2 linked regions of the Caenorhabditis elegans genome follow. The protein of the gene in region 1 interacts with the protein of each later gene in a pairwise test. Each region holds a gene or a part of one and is shown on either strand. Other genes may lie near its edges.

Region 1 (4,822 bases):
GGAGCGAGCTTTCCCGTCACACTCAACATTGGGAGAATGGTATACGAGTGAGATAAGGCATCTTTTGATTGGACAAGTCTCTCAACACGTTTCACCCCCCTCGGTGCGAGAGTTCTGAAAAGTTTATTTCATAAAAGTTGCTCTTTTCAAGGCGAACCTTTTGCAATATTGCTCCTTCGTGAATCCGCACTGATCACAGTTGAAAGCTGTATTTGGATCGAGCGTTTGCAGTTCTAGTTTCATATCATCAACATACTTCTTTGCCGCTTCTTCTGTCTTTTCTTTATTTGCGAAACTAGCTTTGGTCACAAAAGTAGTGATATGACGAGATACCAAACCATTTGACTTCTTCCATTTTGCGAGCCAATCGTCTGAAGCCTTGAAATCGTCAATGTGCACAAACTCTTCATTTAGATCAACTGCCATTCGTCGAAGTGTGAGCTTGTCGATTTGAACTTCTAAAAAATAAAGCATGCAAATTTAATTTGCAATCAAACACTCACTTGCTTCCATTGTCTCAAAAACTTTTGCTCTCAAAAGTTCTGACAGTTTTGCGAAGCTGGAAGCTCGAGAACAATTGACTTTTTCTAAAACAAATAAATAGTTGTGCACCGAGAATATGGAAAAAGAAAACTGACGATTTCTAGCGAACTTTCGGAGCTTCTTCATATCCTTTTCTGACTTGATAAAACGGTAACGATGCTGTACACTGGACATTGTGAGGAACTTGTTATGTTTTGTATCCATCATAAATTCAATAGCCTTTTCAACCTGTATTGATAACAGTATTACAATTCAAAACATACACATAAGTTGGTAGCATTTATAAAAATACGGTGGCTTTCGAAAACCGTAAAAACGTCTTTCTTTTACAAACTTTTTAGACATAGTTGAAAACTCACAGTCTCCACATCTACTAGATTTCCCGAGAAATTTACTTTGTCCGGAAGAGCATAAGTAGTGGGACCATCATCGTCTGCTGTCCAATTTTCATCCTCTACTATTCCACCGACAATTTCCTCTTCATCCTCACTATACACGATCAGCTCATGAGTTTTTCCATCACGCAATATTCTTCGAACACGTTCGAGAATTTTTTGTTCCTCGCGGCTCATGAAACTTGGATTATATTCATGTCCAAACTCTTCCACCAGTCCTCCAACAATAAGATCAGCACGGAACGGCATTTACCTTTAATTCAATAAGTAAAAACAACAAAAAAACGGTGAAATTACTAAAAAAAAATTCGAACAAAAACGGCGGTTTACACCAGTGGCCCTTTCCGTCGGTCACGGCCCAGTTTATCGCGAAATACGTTTTAACCATGAGTTTAATAATGAAAATAATCTTTCGGTGGGTTTTTTATAGTTATCTGAAAATCTGAGATTTCTATTTTTTTTCATGACTTTGATGATGAAAATTTTGATTTTTTTGAAATTTTTTTAATTCAAAAAATGTGAGAAAATGTGATGCAAACGTTTATAAGAAACTCAAAAAGGTGGAGAAAGTCAGTAAAAGTAATTTCAATCACACTTTTTACTGTTTTTAAAATACAGTAAAAACTTTTAAAAAAAGCTTTATAACGCAAGGGATCGAACCCACAACCTTCACCACCAGAACCCATCTCGTTACCACTCAACCAACCAACCGATGATTTGCTCACACCACGCGCCTGGTGACAACTATGGTGTCCCGGGCCGATGCCGACCGTTGATTTAGTATACAAATCAACCGATTTCAGACCGAATTTTCAAAACGTCATAACTTTGCTGAAACCCAACCTGGGCAGCTAAATTTTTTGGAGGGATCATCTGGAATACTCTTCTATTGGAATTTCAACATGAGAATCCCAAATCTAGGGACCCCCTCAAAGACTTCCCTTGTCAGTTGTGATGATTTACAAATTAAAAATAAAGGAAATTACTCAAATCATACCTCAGTTGACAGTTCTATGACTCGATTATGATCATCGATATTATTCCTGTTGGAAGCTGTTATGTCGGAATCCGAAACTGTCAAAACCGGCTTCACATCCTCAGCAATAGAACTGTTCGGCTCAGTGCAAAGACTTTTTGCTGACAAAAACAATTGACTATCTCCAAATTCACAAATAGGTTGTTCATATGAGAATCCATCAGATTGAATAGCATTGTGTGTCGAATTGGGAAAAATGGGTTGATCTGAGCAAGTATCCAGTGGTATTGGTTGGGAGTGTGGAATCATAGTTTCACTTGAACATTCAACCGGTCTGAAAAATAATGAAACTCTTAAGTACATAACTTCGACGGTGATTCGGATTATTGAAATTTTGAATATATTCATGCTAATAAATCCGTTTTTTAAAAAAGAAATTGAAGTTATGATAATTCGATCTGCAGCGATCTCTGAACGGGCAGAATTCTCGTCACAGAAAAATTCTTACGTGAGCCGTCTTCTCTTCGTTAATTTTGAAACTGCAGGCTCTACTTTGACAGTTTCCTTGAGACTACTCAGAGTACTCAAACGTCTCGAGCTTCTTCTCTTTCCTTCCTGATATGGAACAATGGAACTAGCTGCTTCAGAAAGTGCTCGATAAAATGACGATTCGACCTCCTGGCAGTTGGGGGTCAAGGTGGTACAGTCATTGGAGGAATCGTCGAATAATTCATAACCTTCATAATTCGAATCGATTTCGGAAATCATTTCTGTCATGTTCATCGTGAAATCTCGATTCAATGCATGTTGTGGTTTGATGGGAGTTGAAAAGCGGGGAACACCAACATTTGCGAGAGTTGTGCTCAAAAGAATCGGAGGTTTATTAGAATTGGCAACCGTTTGTACCATTTCTTCGAGCAAATCTTTAATCACGTCGTCCTTCGAAGTTTCGGATTGATGAGAGTTCTCCAGGAATTCATCAGTTTTATCGTCATCCGATAGTATCTCTGAGAGCTTCTCAGCCAAATTCAATGTGAAATTTTTACTGGAATTATTATTTGAATGGCCGATAGCAGGAGTTGAAAATCGAGGAAGCTTGTTAGTGGCCAGAGTTGTACTTAGTGGTACAACTGGTTCGATTGTACTTTCTTCAGAATGTGTAGAGCTTTCGGGTCTAGGATTTGTGCAGACGGAGCCCTCCATGATCCAAACTTTAGAGCAGCCGACGTTGTTCTGAAATTGATAAACACCATATTCAGATTCAAGTATCACCAGAGATGAAATTTCATCATCGAACTAACCAAAAGAGATTCCAACACAACTCCTTGCTGCTGAAGTCCTTCTATGGTTTTTCCATAAATGTTCACTTGAATATAACTGTTCCAATCATCACAAGTCATCTGGAAAATATAAAATGACAATGAAACACTTTTAAAACTGCATTTTTAAAAGGAAATTTAAAACGAACACAGTGAATGTATCGCAATAATAAAGGCATCCACAAGAGAAGTAAGAATTTTGAATTTCAAGTTTTTTTTTTAACTTTGTTTAGATGTTGAATAGAAAATTTCACAAAGCTAATAAAATTTAAATTTACAAAACAAAAACAATTTTAAAAAAACTTAAAAAGAGCGATGAAAATTTGAGTGTTTTGAAGAAAGGACTGGTCGTCGCGAGACCCCAGCCAAATGTGTGATGCGCCTTTAATGCATACGGTAGTTGAAAAAATTTTCTGTATTGTTTAGCAATCGTGCTTCTTTTGTAAGCAGCATGTTGCACTTGCACTTAGAAAAAAGAAAGCTCAATTTGTTTCCAAATATTAATAAATCACAATTACTGCCATAGCAATCTCCTTGATTTAATTATGGATTTGTTTTTTGTTACGATAAAAACAACCGCACCATTCTTTGTCTAATCCAGTCATAATCTACAACGCATCCAAATCCGAATTTGCCAACCAATTCAAACATCTTCAAACTTCACACTGTGAAGGCATGACATCTCACAAAACTAAATAGAGAGAAAACTTCAATGTACTTGATAAGTTAATCCTTTAATGACTTTTAACGGCTTTTGCCTTTTTTCCAATATCTTCACCAAACAAGATATTTTTAACTGGTTTTTGTCAGTCTCTTATCATTGCATCAGTTGCCTGTGAGAAAGATCATTCGGTCAAATTGTTCCCTTTTCATAATTTAATTTCAATTTATTTCCATCGGTCCCTTGGCCATCATAAACCATGAAAGACTAAACTCCACGTCGTTAAATTCAAAACATCATGAAGAAGTTGGTCGAATTGTTGTGACTGTTAATTAATTTCAAAGATTATAATATAGAGTCTGTGAGTATTGTATTGTAGATGATTGAAAATGGACTGTATTCACCAAAAAGGAAGAATTGCCCACGCCCACTTTTCGAAATCTCTTTTTTCCGTTTTTCGAACAAAAATTATAATTTTTTTTTGTTGTTTTTCTTCGGTTCAATTTAAACCATCAAAACAAAAAAATAAAACTGAAAAAACATAAATATTTGCCGAGAAATAGAAAAAAATTTATATATTTTTCAAGTTCAGATGAAGAATTTTAAAAAAGTTTTAGAATCTTTTTTATTTGCGCCTCATTGTCTATCATTTCAAACCAAGTTTCCAAAAAAATAGGACGCTACCATTCAAAAATTTAGATAAACATAAATCACTTAAAATTGTATTTCAGTACGACTCAGTACGACCAAAAAACAATTTTACATACATAAAATATCCACCAAAAATTCTAAAAATGTTGTTTATTGGTAACTCAGTTGTTTTCACATTCAGAACACATTTTGATGATCTCATTCAAAAACTGGTTTGTATTAAAACGTACTTTTTTTTTAATCTGGCGGGCGAACCTTTCTGTATTTGTAAATAAAT
Region 2 (5,159 bases), on another chromosome or scaffold:
CATATTATCTGGCCGGACTTGCATTTGTGATCTCAGTCATCACCGTCCTATTTGCCGCTCTCGTATCCACATACACATTCTTGTTCCCAGAGGAAGTTGCGGATAGCGAATACACATTAAAGATGTCGAACAACCAATTTGCGGTAAGATACAATAACGATCTGCCACAACCGTACCAACCGCCAATGTCACAGTTAAGCATGCAGGTGAGTTTCAAGATGGGTGAAACGACGCAAGTTTAAAAAGTCAAATCATTTGACACATAAGCTTCTTCTTTAGAAATCAGTTTTTATCTCATTCATTTTCAAATTCAGGAAAAATTTGAACAGAGTTGGAAGTTTTTTATAGTCTAATTTTGCTAACAAAAATTCAAAATACCTTACAACCAACTATAGTGATTATAGTGATTAGAAAATGATTAGAAAAATGGTGAACAGGTTTAATTTTTTGATATGTATTCACTTTGTTCGTTTCATTTTCTTGTAAAAACAGATACTAAAATGTAATTTTATACGTTCAAGTTCCTCATTTTAGATTCCTTCTACCGAACACGGATCCTACATTGCTGGAGCAATTTCTCCTCGTGGCGATTTCAAGTCACAAACCCGACACTTTTACAGTTATTGAATAGTTTAACCTAATAGTTTAATCTAATCAGAAAATAACTCAACAAAAGAATCTCTAAATGTTTCTAATTCCATTGTTCTCTTTGTTTTTACTCAGTTGTAACTTCTTGTTTCACTTCCCGCAAATTTGATGGCATGCTTCACAGAATATATATATAACGAGTCTTTATTTTCAATTAGATTCAATTGTGGCTTTTGTACAATATCAAATAGTTTCCATTAATAACAAAACATTCTCAAAAGTTTGTAAAATACTGAATTAATAAAACGTTGATGGTTGTGCTGATCGTTGATGGTTTTTCCATGTAGATTCGAATATAGGACAACTAAATGTACAAATCGCATTATAAGTGGACAACAGTGGCACCTCGATTGTTCACTGTCATCGGAGGATTTAGTTCATCAAAACACGTTTTTGAACAATATGCTTTCTCGTCTAAAGAGGCGAATTGTGCTTTCTGAAATTATTCGATCACTGGATTTAGTCATATGGATAACAAATTTGTTGTTTTTCCTATGCACCTTACATTTAACAATAATACTCGATGGTTTTGTAAGACATCAAAAGTAACCAAAACTGAAAGTTCAATAGAAATTGCTAATTTAAAAACAAGCTTGAGAAAAGTTTAAAAAACAAACGCGGCTAAAATTTATATACCACATTGTTTCAATATATTTTTGCATCTTAATACATACCTGAGAAAGCTAAATCATACCAAAATTTCTCCAGAGAAGATTTTTAAAAACTTTTTAAAAAATTTTTAGTACAAGTATCTGCGCGAAAACTGTAAAACAGTCAAAACAAAAAATCTAGCCCTGATCAGCTTTCAAATTTGGAAACAGGCTAACTTCACCTTTTCAAAAAGTATTTTTCTCATGTATATATTTTTTAGGCATGAAACTATCGATATGTATGTGAGTTGACTGTCATCTGTAGGTCTTGCTTCAAAAGCTATTTTTGTACATGATGTGCAATACATATCAAAAAAGTTAGAAATTGATCTATTATTTAGCATTGGAGACTAAAACGCCCGAGCATAATTTCAGATTAAAAAGGATTAAAAAGGCATTTGTTTTTCATCACGTTTGTTTAATTTTCAAAAAATTTTAATTTGCGGTCAAATAAGGTTTTCTAATTATAGTTTCCAATTTTTTGTTTTTCACTTTTCACTTTTTATATTGAAGTTTTCAATTTAAAGCGTCCCCACATCATCCGCATTTGACGACCCATGTTTAATGAGTGAGCTAGCTTAACATACCTTTTGCTCCAACATTCCACATGTTGAACAAAGCTTCAGACCAGCTCTCTTTTTCTGTAATCATGTTTCTCAATCTAATTCATAATTACTTTTTCTACCTTTTCAACAAATCTGTCTCCAAAGATAACAGAGGTTCCGCTTGGTTTCCACTGTTGTAGAATGTACCTATCAAAGTCTAAAAGAACCCAAGTACGATTGTCTGCAAAACAGTTTGAACGTTATTTTTTTACTTGTCATACCTGATGCGACTTGTCATACCTGATGCGAAGGTTTGAAAAAGGACAACTCTCTCATCGGGTTCCCATTCTGGGTCTGTCTCAAAACGAATCGATTTTTTCTTCAACTTCTCATTTTCCCATCTCTGTTGCAAGTTTACAACAACTTTGATAAACATGGTATAGGCCGGCAGTTGCGCTGAATAATTGTTTGTTTCAAAACAGAAAACGTGATCAGGTTATCAATAAATTAAATCATATGTGGGAGAGAAAAGAGACAAAAGGTCATACCAATGGTCAGCTGAATAGTCTTGGGTGTAAGATTTCCATGTATAATGTTGAACGAGCGGTCCAAGTTGGGAGATATTTTGGTTGTCGATATGCTTTTAGGATTGGAAATCATTTGAATCAATGTATTCTTCTCTCTTATGACATGGAAAATTGCAGTTAGATACTGAAAATCAAAAAATATACTTTTCGCCACAATTCACAAAAGTACCTCAAAGGCATCTTCAAATTGACTATTTCGTTCCGCCAATTTCTGATGAATTTTGATGAATGCGTCATCGCAACTGAACAGTACTTCATCGTTTTGTTGAACGTAATTGATTACGTATCCTCGAATCGAAATGACAAGCCGTGACCACCAGAGACGGTCGAGAGAAGAGAACATCTAAAAAAAAGTTTAGTGAACAAAATGTCCTTAGGAAGTCCTTAGGATAAGAATACTCATCTAAAAGTTTTTTTTAAGTTATAAAACAAAAATGTGCGGAATATTTGTGTATTTTTACGTTTAGGAAATAATCATATCTAGGCCTAAAAAGTGAAAATTAAAATTTATCACATTTATTTTAAATAAAGAAATGAATGAAACTCTGATTTTTTTAATGAAAGCATATAATATACAAATACCGGAAAAAAGAAGCTTATAACTCACCTGTTTGAATACATCCTCGCTGATTTCCGATTTTGGTGAAAAAGTAAGATTGAGAATATCCACCTTGGGAAATAATTCCTTGTCATCCATTGACACAGGTAGAGTCATGATGTTTTCGAAAACTTGTATGAAATTTCCTATAGAAGTGAGGTAGATAGATAGATTACCTTGACAGAGAAAAGAGGCGGGAAGGAAAAGTCAAATAAAAAAAAGGAGGGACCGAATAAATAATCAAATAGTGATGTCCTCACTAAAAAGAGACCCCCAACTGTCTCGTTACCCCTACGACTCCAAGTCTTATAGAAAACAGGTTTTTATGAGGAGACTGCCGGCTGTTTGACTGCTTGGACTAACCGCCTACACTGACCAATTGTAGAATCCGCAATGTGTTCTTTTATTCTATTAAACAATTTGCCTCCTCAACAATTTGGGCGTATCCATCTCAATGTCCTTCTCGTTTTTCCCTCGTTTTCCAGAATGTTTGCCTTCTTTCTCACAGTCAGTCTATATTTTTCTTTCACCGTCTCCACTTGGGTTTTGTGATACAAAAGCAGTTAATACTGACTTACCTAATGTTCTCTGCAAATAGAAAGTGAAGAGGAGATGGACATATTTGCAGAAGTGAACATTTTTACCGATCTAAAACTAGTTTTGCTTTCTTTTCTATTTCATACAAAGTGGTCTAAAAAATGTTTTTTTTAATTGGCGGACAAGGCAAAAATCAGTTTTTTTTTATGGAGGGATTTTATCAGTAACTAGACTTTCAAAATGTTTGTTTAAATTTCATCCACCAAAAAAGGTTTGCATTCTGTTTTTTAACTTTAGTCATATGTTTTTGAAGTATCCGCAGAGGTGCCTATTTAAAATTTTTGCTCTGAAATTCCAGCAAAAATTCCATATTCAACACCTATCTAAAACAATTTTCAGTGCGTATATGTGCTTTCACTACTCGACGAAGCTCAAAGAATTGCTAAAAATCAGTGCATAATTTTGATAGTCTGAATATTACTTTGAAGTCTTTATGGGTAATGTTTTTGGGAAAACAATGTGAAATTTTCAAATAGAATTGAGTGGAAAATAATAAGATTTTTAAAATATTTGATAATTTTTAAACTTTCAAACGTTTTTTAACCAGCAAAAACCAGATTTTGAATCAGTTTGTTGAGCCTAAAAAGCAACATGAAAATGCTCTAAAAACTATTTCAGATCAAAAGTTGAAGAGTTGAGAATGGAGGTTTGCCACTTAAGATTGTTTTAAGTAAGTATTTTCAAATGGCACATTAAAATTAAATGTTTCAAGGTTTAATAAAAAGTCCATTACATGTATTTATAAATATTTTTCTCTGGAAGTCGTCTTAATGCAAAAAAACAAATATTTTGCTTAATGCTCCGTTGGTTCAATTAATTTATAAAAAAAATGTATTTATTTTTAGTTCAAATAATGTTTTTTTTTTGATAATAAGATAAAACAAAAAAATTTCAGAGTAATATAAATTTTTTGGCTATATTTTTTTTCTGAAAAGTCAAATACGTAATATTAAAGAATTTTATTTATTTGTTAATTACAAATAGTTCGGGCAGATACGTACTGCAAGTATGACTTCAGACCTGTTTGAAGATTGGGGGATCTTTTGACGTGGTGCTCAATAACAAATCAAGTACCCAAGATGACATGGAAACAAATTGGGGGAAACAATGAAATCATAATAAATATTATTCAGAAGCAGATAACAATTTGAGTACAGACAAGAAATGTAACAAAATGTAGTGGGTGACAATCCATAGGAAGAATGTGTGAGAATGAAATAACCAGTATGTAAACGTAGAGGGGATTGAAAATGAAACGGTTATTCAAAAAAAAGTTAAAAAATGGATAAAAATGACGTCCAGGAATGTACAATGAGAGGACGGAGCCAATACACGTAATGCGCGTAATAAAGACATCCCCAGAACACCTGGGCAAACATCATCTCATAGTTGTTTGGAATCACTTTTGTCTTATCTCCGGGAAAATGACCCGTTTTGTAGAACTCCGCAAGAAGCTTGTCCTGAAAAATTAAAATAGTTTTTATTAATAATGAAGTTTTTGTTTTCTACCAATGTTATTTCGTTCGCAAAAATA

Evidence for each region.
Region 2: the proteins of zim-1 (region 1) and C01C10.2 interact in a two-hybrid assay, tested with the Caenorhabditis elegans proteins (one large-scale study listed by BioGRID).

What each region holds. Positions count from the first base shown.
Region 1 is NC_003282.8:10,545,580-10,550,401, reverse strand, and holds the start of zim-1 (C2H2-type domain-containing protein), read right to left. Parts: upstream 3,317-4,822; 5' UTR 3,315-3,316; coding exon 3,216-3,314; intron 3,148-3,215; coding exon 2,423-3,147; intron 2,249-2,422; coding exon 1,936-2,248; intron 1,188-1,935; coding exon of another isoform or gene 901-1,187; intron 1-900.
Region 2 is NC_003284.9:7,434,827-7,439,985, forward strand, and holds C01C10.2 (MYM-type domain-containing protein), read right to left. Parts: upstream 3,293-5,159; 5' UTR 3,146-3,292; coding exon 3,038-3,145; intron 2,774-3,037; coding exon 2,600-2,773; intron 2,555-2,599; coding exon 2,392-2,554; intron 2,300-2,391; coding exon 2,144-2,299; coding exon of another isoform or gene 2,112-2,143; exon of another isoform or gene 2,085-2,111; coding exon 1,984-2,084; intron 1,940-1,983; coding exon 1,886-1,939; intron 1,085-1,885; coding exon 971-1,084; 3' UTR 776-970; downstream 1-775. Other genes in the region: clc-5 (Clc-like protein 5), read left to right, coding at 1-206, 535-627; Putative 1-acyl-sn-glycerol-3-phosphate acyltransferase acl-12, read right to left, coding at 4,900-5,085.